2 linked regions of the Caenorhabditis elegans genome follow. The protein of the gene in region 1 purifies or fractionates together with the protein of each later gene. This does not show direct contact. Each region holds a gene or a part of one and is shown on either strand. Other genes may lie near its edges.

Evidence for each region.
Region 2: the proteins of B0244.10 (region 1) and cisd-3.2 fractionate together in Caenorhabditis elegans (co-fractionation; one large-scale study listed by BioGRID). This does not show direct contact.

Annotation. Positions count from the first base shown.
Region 1 is NC_003281.10:5,733,223-5,738,315, forward strand, and holds B0244.10 (Putative G-protein coupled receptor B0244.10), read left to right. Parts: upstream 1-1,942; 5' UTR 1,943-1,970; coding exon 1,971-2,066; intron 2,067-2,186; coding exon 2,187-2,320; intron 2,321-2,509; coding exon 2,510-2,682; intron 2,683-2,785; coding exon 2,786-2,916; intron 2,917-2,961; coding exon 2,962-3,055; intron 3,056-3,182; coding exon 3,183-3,401; intron 3,402-3,573; coding exon 3,574-3,664; intron 3,665-3,767; coding exon 3,768-3,843; intron 3,844-3,984; coding exon 3,985-4,077; 3' UTR 4,078-4,299; downstream 4,300-5,093. Other genes in the region: B0244.17 (G-protein coupled receptors family 1 profile domain-containing protein), read left to right, coding at 3-98, 161-294, 415-584, 764-894, 944-1,037, 1,189-1,280, 1,356-1,482, 1,571-1,655 and 2 more; Putative G-protein coupled receptor-like protein B0244.6, read left to right, coding at 4,786-4,899.
Region 2 is NC_003281.10:1,538,343-1,543,983, reverse strand, and holds cisd-3.2 (Iron-binding zinc finger CDGSH type domain-containing protein), read right to left. Parts: upstream 3,492-5,641; 5' UTR 3,479-3,491; coding exon 3,434-3,478; intron 3,267-3,433; coding exon 3,105-3,266; intron 2,059-3,104; coding exon 1,915-2,058; intron 800-1,914; coding exon 680-799; 3' UTR 536-679; downstream 1-535. Other genes in the region: Y67D2.5 (N-acetyltransferase 9-like protein), read left to right, coding at 3,785-4,015, 4,385-4,558, 5,271-5,474.

The sequences.
Region 1 (5,093 bases):
TTATGGGCAACTTATTCGAAAATTGTACCCATAGATATTCATTCGAGTACATATATGAAAATTGCACAAATACTACAAATCAGTGCGGTCTTATAAGGGTAAGTAAGCACGCTCTGTTAAAATTTCAAACTTTGCGCTTTTACAATTCTATAATTTCCAGAACGTAGCATCATCAATCGATGTATTTCATTGGCTTGATGTCTATATTTCTACAACTATTTTTGTGATTTCGGGGATTTTAAATTTTTATTGCTTGTTTATTGCACTCTACACATATTATTTTCTTGATAACGAGTGAGTAAGTCTGCTACGTAGGCATGAACGCCTGCCAGCCTGTCTTTAAGGCGAGCCAGACAATGCGAATTTTCATGAAAATGTAGATTTTAGGAAAAAAACGAAATCTAAGATTTCCAGAACCCGAAAGCATTATGTATTTGTACTCAGCAGATTTCTCTCCTCAATACTTGTCATAATATCCCTTTTGGTGCTAGAAAGCACACTATTCTCGGAGAGTTTGTCTCCGACATTTGCATATTATGCTGTTGCATTTTCAATTTACGATTTCAGTATGGACACCTTGTTCTGTAAGTTCTTGATTGATGAAAGAGAAATCATATGGGGAAAAGTTAGCCCACGGCCGAGTCATAAATTTTTATAGTTTAAAAATTTTTAGCCTATTGAAAAACACTCCATTTTCAATTTTTCGTAAAAACAAACTTACCAATATAGCGTGTTTGCAGCCTCGAGGTTTAAAATGTTTCAGTCTCCTACATAATGATCTCCCTGATCACCTATTTTGGTGTAGTTCACTACAATTTCTATCGACGCCATGTGTCATTAAGATCTCTCTACATTATACTCATTTCAATGTGGACATTTTCTTTAGCAATAGCGGCAAGCTGACAAAAAGGAATTTCATGGAACAAAAATTGAAACCTTGCAGATCCCTCTAGGCCTCTACGAAGCTGCGAGTAACTCTCAAGGGCCTATAAAGTGTGATTTAAGTTATTGTGGGAAGGTGGTGGAATGGATTACTTGTAAGTAAATTTGCATCTTTGTTGCATTGCACTTCTTGTGTCACAGTAACCCCCAGTCTTTTGCGTGACCTGGAAATTTTCAAAACTCTTCCACGATTGGAAAACCGTTCACCTTACACACGCTACAGCCTAGCAAAAAATTTAATTTCAGTTTCTATAGCATGTATCTCACTTGCAATAACTGCATCTCTAACAGGATTCGCTGTGATCTCGTTGCACTGGTATAACTATAAATCAAAAACGGTGAGGAAGCAGCGGACAGTTCGCGGGTTTTCTTTAAAACCCCGTAAAGCGTCGGCTGCTGAAATATGTATTTAGAACGGTGTCGATGTCCCTAAAGTGACTACACGTGCCCGTATTCGTCTCACTTGGACATTTTTCGCTTTGATTGTCATTTGTCTCATTGAGTTGCTTCCCTTTGGATTAGTTATTGGCAATGATAAAAGTAAGTACGTTAGAGGTTGCCTAGAAATAGCGTCGGAATTGGGAGAAAAAAATGTGTACATGCTTTTCGCATGAAAGTTCAATTTTAGGTAGTCTCCAAGGATGTGATAGTTTTTACAATGCCAACGAACTACTTGTTCAGTCAATAATATCATCTGTGGAAACCCTCGTAGGGTACAAATTTTATACAAATTTAAAACAAACTTCTGAATTTTTGCAGATCCCTTGTCTTCTTGACGGATCCTTTAATTAATATTTTTTTCGACAAAAATATTTCAAAAATGGTCAAGTTACAAGTGAGTTTATCTCTTTCAAATGTGCTCTACAAATTGTGACGTCTCACAGATTACTTACCTCCGCTCGAAATTGTGCAGAAACCCCCCTCCGACAAAATTTTGATCTCTTATCGCCTCATAGAATTGAATCATCAATTCTTATCAGTTAACACTTGGAAAATGGTTTATAGCATTATATCGATTTTTGTTTCAAATGACAAATATTTTTGAAAATTGCTCTACCCACTATTCATTTGAAAAGAACCTACAAAAATGTGTCAATGCATCGAATCCATGTCAATTGCTGCAGGTTTGTTAGGTTGTCCAAGAGGAATACAATTAAAACTTTCTAAAAAATTCTAAATTGAAAAATCTGCGCGTCAAAACTGGTGCACTTTAGAATTAGACTATTTGATAATAATAATTCCAGAAAATGAATACTGCTCACTCACTTATGATTTGGATGGGATTTTATATACCTTCTGCCATGTGTTTTTTGGCTGTACTTGTTGATACTTATTGTCTTTTAGTTACAATTTCAATACTGAAAAGTCTCAAAAAGCAGTGAGTTTAAAATATTCAAACTTTGTTGGCTTCAATTGGCCTAATAATAAATTATTAGCTAACAGTATGCAGATGAAAATGTTTTACGTAACTTATCAGTTTGTAAATTTTGAAATCATCTGAAACAAACGATATATCTTCTCTCGCTATTTTTGTCTAATTTCAAAATTAATTCCAAATAAACTTCAGATCCCGCAAACAATACATATTTGTAGTTGTAAGATTGTCAGCTGCAATTCTCATTGCTCTATGTATAATAATAATTCAGTCAACTTACTTTATCGATATTCCATTTCGGGATACATTTGCATTTTTTGCAGTATTATTTATTATCTACGACTTTAGTATTTTGAGTTTGTTAGGTAAGCCGGAGCTTAAGAATTCCAAGACGCCTTCAAATCAACCTTCGCCTGCCTCGTGCCTCCATGGAAGCCTAGTTGTACCGCAAGTTTCAGTTGATTCCAGGTTCCTTCACCGGTGTCGCCATGATGACATATTTCGGAGTGATGCGTCCACTGGTTTATCGTGACAAGTTTACTCTTAAAACGATATACATCATTGCATTCGCGATAGTTTTATTTTCGGTTTGTGTTGCGGTAAGAAAAAGTTTAATGACTATATTTTTGGTATAAAAATTTTAGATTCCATTTGGCTTATTTCAAGCAGCCGACGAAATAGACGGCCCTATAAAATGTGATAGTGAAAGTTGTGAACTTATCGTTAAATGGTTGTTGTGTAAGTTTTAGTGGGGGGCTGCCTGCCTACCTTGTGGGAGAAATATGGAAAGCTACCCATTTCTAGCCGAGAAATATGCGATAGGCATAAATGTAGTAGGCACGTCTTTTTCATTATTTTATTTCAGTTTGCATAGCATGTCTCATCCTTATGGGATGCACCGGCACATTGCTCTTTGTCACAGTATCTCTCCACTGGCACAGTTATAAATCCAAGAAAATGGGAAACGTGTCATCTTCTGCATTCAATCATGGAAAAAGCCGACTAACATGGACAACTACTATTTTGGTCATTTTATGTTGCGTTGAGTTAATACCAACTGGGTTACTTGCAGCGTTTGGAAAATGTAAGTGACGTGAAAAGATTGGAGACGAACAAAATAACATTTTTATAAAAGATTGAAAGAAAAGAGCCAAAGTAAAATATTCCATTGCAAAACTAATAAAAGAAATACGGTAGTTTCAAATTTCACTGCCAATTACGGTAGATGTTGCTCCCATTTATTGTTTTTTTTTCAGCTGAATCAATATCAGATGACTGTTACGATTTCTACAATGCAAATAGTTTAATTTTCCCAGCTATCGTATCATCATTGGAGACATTTTTAGGGTTCGATAACATTTTTTTCTCTGCACCATGTCCTTTTAAAATAAATGGCCCATCTGGATCACTAGTGACTTGTATTTTCTTAAAATTGAAAAATCAATTTCAGATCAATAACATTTCTACTGGACCCAATTATAAACTTTTCCTTTGACAAACGCATTTCGAAAGTTTTCAGTTCTCAGGTAAGTATGTTTTCTATTTTTTTTTGTGGAAAACGATAGAAATCTACAACAGCTAGTTATTGAGAACATAATCATCAAAAACACAGTAGTCAGAGATTTTGTGGCAAAACTGAAGAATCTAATTTTAAAAATTAATTTCAGATGAAATTTCTGAGATCAAAAGTCTTTTGTGCTTCATCTTCTTCATTATCAAGAAATGATAAAATCATTAAAGATCAATCTCAAATTGAATGATTACTGTTACCTCCATCTTCTCAGTTTTGTGTGGAAACAGATTCCTATCTATAGTATACCCTGCCTGAATAATGAAACCTGCAGTCAATATCTCACCTCACGAGTAATTTTCATTTGCATAATTTTTTAAATATTTATTTTGTATCTGTAAGTTATGTCGTTTTAAGACCAAGTTCTTATTTTGTTTTTGTTAACTGAATAAAATCTAATTCGGAAAGAAAATCTGAGATAAAATGATATTGATTTGGAAAAACTTCAAAAAAAAAAATTTCAGTGTAACAAATTAAAGATTTTTAAAAATAATTCTCAAGGATTCAAACATCTAACATTTTCAAACTTCTGAAAACATTCTAAAAACTTAAGTTATAAAAATATAAAAATCTAGAATAATTATTTGATGAACAGAACAATCAAAGTCTACTCAAAAACTGCTAATTACAAAATTATTCTTTTGGAAAGTTCCTAATAATTTGTTTACATAAATAGATTTGTGGCAGAACCTGAAAAATCTTTAAAAATTAGTTACAGATAAGATTTATGCAATCAAAGCTCATCCCTGCTTTATCTTAATCATCATAAAAAGTGTCATCATAACTGAAGATGATACCTAAATTTTGAATGAAGCATTAAGGTAATTCCTTAAACAAACAACCTTTTCCCTATCATTTTTATGTCCATTTTGTGTCAATGACATTCAATTTCCAAAAAATGACTCAAAATCATTATACCACATCAATTTTTGCCAATTGTTCGAAACACTATGAATTCGAAATTTTATTGGAAACGTGCACGAATTCCACAAATCCATGTCATGCCGTTTCAGTGAGTTTTATAATTTTATTAATTTGGTTATTTACAAAATTTCATTAAGGGAGTTCAAATGCGAATATTTTCTTAAAGTTAAAAAACATCGAAATTTCAAAAAAAAAGTTTAAAAATTGTTTGACAATAGGTACAAGATTTATTTAAAAAAAAAAAACCTGACCAGCCACAGTTTCGGAAAACCAATAATTGTT
Region 2 (5,641 bases), 4.2 Mb from region 1:
TATTTTTAAAGTTCAGAACTCGAAAATTCGAATTTTCAAATTTCCCGGGGGTTACTGTAGCCCCAAAAGTACTACGCAAAATACGATAAAGTTGAATTTTTGCAGTTCAAAACCTGAAAATATTGGAAATTTTTGTTTTTTCGTTTCTAAAATCGATATTTTCCGAAATTATCGATTTTTGAACCGAAAAATCGATAATTTTTGGATTATTTCTCAGTGTTTGCGTACTTTTCCAGCAGCTACAGTAACCCGGGAAATTAAAAAATATGAACTTCTAGGGGGGACTGTACCTTGAAAAGTACGCAAAACCCTGGAAATTCCAAAAATTTTCGTGTTTTTTTCTGTTCAAAAATCGATAATTGCCAAAAATTATCGATTTTTAGTCGAAAAAAAAATCGATTTTCCTGAAAATTAGGGGGGGTACTGTACCTCGAAAAGTACGCAAACACCGAAAAAATCGAAAATTATCGACTTTCCGGTAATAAAATCGATTTTTTCCGAAATTATCGATTTCTTTGCACCAGAAAAATCGATTTTTCACTTAAAAATTACTTTATTCACACATTAAAAATCGGGAAAAAACCCCTAAAAAATTTTTTCCAATAAAAAAAAATCTACTGCTTTCAGTTTTTCTGGTACTTTTTTTGATTTCGGCTGCTGTCTCAGCGTAGTCTCCGGACTACTGGAATCCACCATTTTTCGGCTTATATCCCAATTTTTGAGCAACTCCTGCGTAAACTGGCGATTCGTCGAATGCAACCATTCTCGTAGCGTTTAGATCACGTGGAGCTTTGGATACCTGAAAAAATTGGGATTTTTGGCTGAAAATTGAGGTTTTTAGGGTAAAAATCATAAAAATTCATGATTTTTCAGCCAAAATTAGTGAAAATTGAATTTTTTATAAATTTTATGATAATTCCCGTTAAATTCGCAATTTTTGAGCTAAAAATTTGGATTTTTGGCTGAAAATTGGCGTTTTAAAACAAAAATCATAAAAATTCATGATTTTTTAGCCAAAATTAGTGAAAATTGAATTTTTTATAATTTTATGATAATTCCCGTTAAATTCGCAATTTTTGAGCTAAAATTCTGGATTTTGGTTGAAAAATGACGTTTTTACGTTAAAAATCTGAAAATTTCGTGGTTTTTGAGATAAAATTAGTAAGAAATCGACATTTTTAAGCTGAAAAATCAATTTTTCATGAATTTTATGATATTTTCCGTTAAATTGACAATTTTTGAGCAAAAAAGTGGCTTTTTGGCTGAAAAATGACATTTTTAAGTGAAAAATCTGGAAATTTCATGATTTTTGGGACAAAGTAAGTGAAAATCGATAATTTTGAGCCAAAAACTCAGTTTTTCATGAATTTAATGATTTTCTTGGTAAAATTCACAATTTTTTCAGCTAAAAATTGGCTTTTGGCTGGAAATTGGCATTTTATGCCGTTTTTAGGTCGAAAATGTGGAAATTTCATGATTTTTGAGCAAATGTGAGTGAAAAATCGATTTTTTAAGCCAAAAATTTAGTTTTTCATGAATTTATTGGACTCTTCCGTTAAATTCCATAATTTTTGAGCTAAAAATTGGATTTTGACTGAAATTTTGTGGCAAATCACGATTTTTTTTTTTGAAAAATTGCCATTTTTAGGTCAAAAATCCTGAAATTTCATGATTTTAGTGGCGAATTTTGTGGAAAATTGAATTTTCTTGAAGTTTCATGGGTTTTTTGGCGGAAAATTGATTTTCTGACGAATTTATTTAAAAATTGGATTTTTTTGGTCAAAACAAGCAGAATTTGCATAATTTTGAGCCAAATTTCATTAAAATGGGATTTTTCCAGTTTTTATCTCAAATTTTGCGAGAAATTCGATTTTTAGGTGAAAATCTTCGAAATTTTCCCCATTTTCCCCGTACATCAGCGTGTTTTCCATCGCAAATTGGTCGAGTTCCAGTCTGTTTGCAGTCACACATTGGATAAATTCCAGTTTTTTCAACTTGAAAACTGACGGGGCGAACGTTGGTTAATCCGGGCGTTTTGTGGGTTCCGTCGCAGAATGGCTGCAAAAAATTTTTGGATTTTTCAGGAATTTTCCGGTTTTTTAAGGCATTTTTCAGTGTTAAAATCGTCGTCGAATTTCACACGCCTAGCACCCTTTTTCTGGGTCTCTAGATTTAAATTTGAATTTCGAGGGGTACGGTAGTCCCAAAAGTACGCAAACACCGAGTGCCTTGCGTACTTGGCACCGAACTTTACGACAATTAGTCTAAATTGACTGAAAATCGGGTTAGGGGGGGAAAATGTGATGGAGAACTCGAATTTTGTACTGAAAATGTGTGAAAATGTGTGAAAATCATTGAAAATTTGGGCATAGCTTCCGCATGTCCGAGTGACAAATGTGCTCTATTGCCAAATTGTTGGCAGAAATACGGTATTTATTCACATTTTCAGCCAATTTAAGACTGAAAATGTGAATAAACACAGTATTTATGCCAGAAATCTGAGAAACGCACAAGTCACAGGGGAATTATCGATTTTTAGAAGATTTTTCGTTTTCAGATTGGTGGCCTAGAAATCCCAAAAGTTAGGCCGCCAATCTATTTTGAGCGAAAAAACCAATTTCTAGGGGTAAAAATGAGTGAAAAACTTAATTTTTAACTGAAAATTTGGGCAAAATCACTAGAAATGTGATTAAAAATATTTAAACGCGAAAAATGACCGGAATTCTAATTTTAGGGCAAAATTCGTTAATTATAGCTGCAATAACCAAATTTTTGAGCAGAAAATCGCAAAAAATCTTTATTTCCAGCGTTTTTCGTAACAAAAATAGACCGTCTGAGCTTTTTCCGGGAAAATTAGGGTAATTTTCGAAAAATGTTGGATTTTTCTAGAATATTGATTAAAATTTGAGCAAAAATGAGCTTTTTTTGTAATTTTTTCACTAGCATTCACGTTTAACAAAATTTTGGGTTTCATCACGACTTTAAAGGCACATAGGCGCCATTTTAAGCCTAAAATAGCTAAATTTTATCAATTTTCCGCGATTTTTTCGGCATTTTAGCTGTTTTTCGACGATTTCCATGAGAAAATGCTCGAAAATAAGCACCTGAGTGATGCTCAACCCGCATGAGCACCAATGATACGTTTTTCCGGCTTCAAGCTTCACACGATTCGACTTTGTGCCTGCTGGCTGCCCTTTGTACGGCAAAACGTCTGCAGAATAGCTTTGAACAACGACGCCACGTGCTTTTCCACGAATCGATGATTGCTGGAAATTTTGAAATTTTTTTCAGTGATTTTTCGCGGAAATTGGTGAAAATCTGGCAAAAATCGGGATTTTTTCGCAGAAAAAAAAATTTCAGCGATTTTGATTGATTTTCCACGACTTTTCCAGCTTTTTCAGTCGAAATTGACAATTTTCCACTAATAACTCACAATCGGCGCGGCTGCCTGAAGCTTTTGGCACGTTCTTCCGAGCATGGCTCAATTCGACCTGAAAATCGAGGTTTTTGAGGTGAAAAATAGGTTTTTAATGGATTTTCGCATACAAATTCATGATTTTTCAATATTTTAAGCGAAAAAATCGTGAAAAACCACGGATTTTCAGAGGAAAATCACTAAAAATGGCTGAAAACAAATTTGCCCGTGGAGCGAGCAAGCGCGCTCCAGTGAGAAACAGTTGGGATTTCTAGGCCGCGGCCACGGGAATTTATATAATTTTTTTCATTTTCCGGCGTTTTTACATGATTTTCCTCGAATTTCTCGCATTTTTCGATATTCCAGGCAATGAAACTCAATTCCAACGTGAAAATCGTCGCAAAAAAGTGCATTTTAGTGCCGTACGAGCCGTGCCACGTTGCAAAATACCACAAATGGATGGAAAACGAGGAGATTCGCCGACTCACCGGCTCTGAACAATTGTCGTTGGATGAGGAATATGAAATGCAGAAAACTTGGCGAAATGATGAGGATAAACTAACGTTTATCGTTCTTGAAATGAATGAAAGTGGAGAAGAAGTAGGGATTTTTCAGGAAAACCCCGTTTTTTTCAAGTTTTTGCCTCCAAAAATTTGAAATTCACGGGCTCAGAACCGTTTTGAATTAAAAATAGACCAAAAAATTGGGAAAATAGCATTATAACCACTCGAAAATCGACTTTTCCGCCAAAAACTACGACACTCCTAGTACGCCACAGCGCGTGTTGTTTAGCGCTGGTCACCCGCGAATTCAAATTTTTGACTTAAAATTGGGGTTTTTTACACTTTTTTGCCGATTTCAATGTGAAAAATCACTAAAAATTCTGTTTTTATCAAAAATTTTTGCATTTTCGAAAAGAAAAGTGTGTTTTTTTCCGATTTTTTTTTTGGAAATTTTCCGAAATTTCAGGTAGATCACATGCTTGGCGATGTGAATTTGTTCATTTCCACGTCACCGTCCACTGAAAACCCTAGCGATGACGTCATCACTGGTGAGGTAGAGGTTATGATAGCGGAGCCACGTGGCAGAGGAAAAGGCATTGGAGAGGAGGCTGTGAGGGTTATTATTGCGTGGGCGTATGAGGTAAAATACTTTTTTTCTTCTAAAAAAAAGTTTTTGTTGGATGTAAAAGTTGAAAAAAAAATTTTGAAAAAAAATTCTGAAACAATTTTTTTTTTCAGAATTTTTTTTGTCAAATTTCTCCTAACTAATTTCTTTTATAAAAATTCGAGTTCTCCTCACTCCCAGCTTCAAAATGACCCCCCATCACGCACTGGTTCCGCGTAGTTTGAAAATTTTAGGTCTCGCCACGCGGGTTACTGTAGCACCGATATCAGCTGTGTCGGTGGGAAAAATGCGCGGAACATAGGCTTGTAGGGGTCAATTTAAAGCTGGTGACGTGGAGAATATGAATTTTAACATGATTTTTGACAGTTTTGAAAATTAAAAAAATTTTAGTTCGAAAAAAAATTGAATTTTTTTTTGTTTTTCAGAAAAATTTTATTCTTCAAAATTTCTCGATTTTGAGCTGAAATTCGAGTTCTCCACACTTTCAGCGTCAAAATGACCCCCATCATGTCCTGGTTCCGCGCAATTTGAAAATTTTGGGTCTCGCCACGCGGGTTACTGTAGCACCGATATCAGCTGTGTCGGTTGTCAAATTGAACGGAATATGGTCGTGTTGGGGGTCATTTTGAAGCTGAAAATGAGGAGAATAAGAATTTTGACATGGTTTTTGACAGTTTTGAAAAATGAGCAAAAAAAATATTTTTTTCGAAAATTTTCAATTTTTCAGAATCTGAAAATCGAGCAATTCTGCGTAAAAATTACCGATGACAACACACCAAGCCTGAGCCTATTCAAGAAGAAACTAGGATTCAAACAAATCGGCTATAGCACTGCTTTCAAGGAATTCACATTTGAATTGCCGAAAAATCGATTGATTTCTGAATTTTCGAGTTTTTTGGAGAAAAATGCAGAAATTAAGGAGTATAAATAATTATTTGTGTACTTTTACATTGAAAATAAATGTTTTTCAAAAAAAAAAAATTTTTTGTAAAAATTTTTTTCACTATATTTTTTACAAAATTCCAAAATTCTGTGTTCAGAAGCTTTTTTTAATGCAAAATATATCAAAAAATTGAGATAAAAGCCTTAAAACCACTC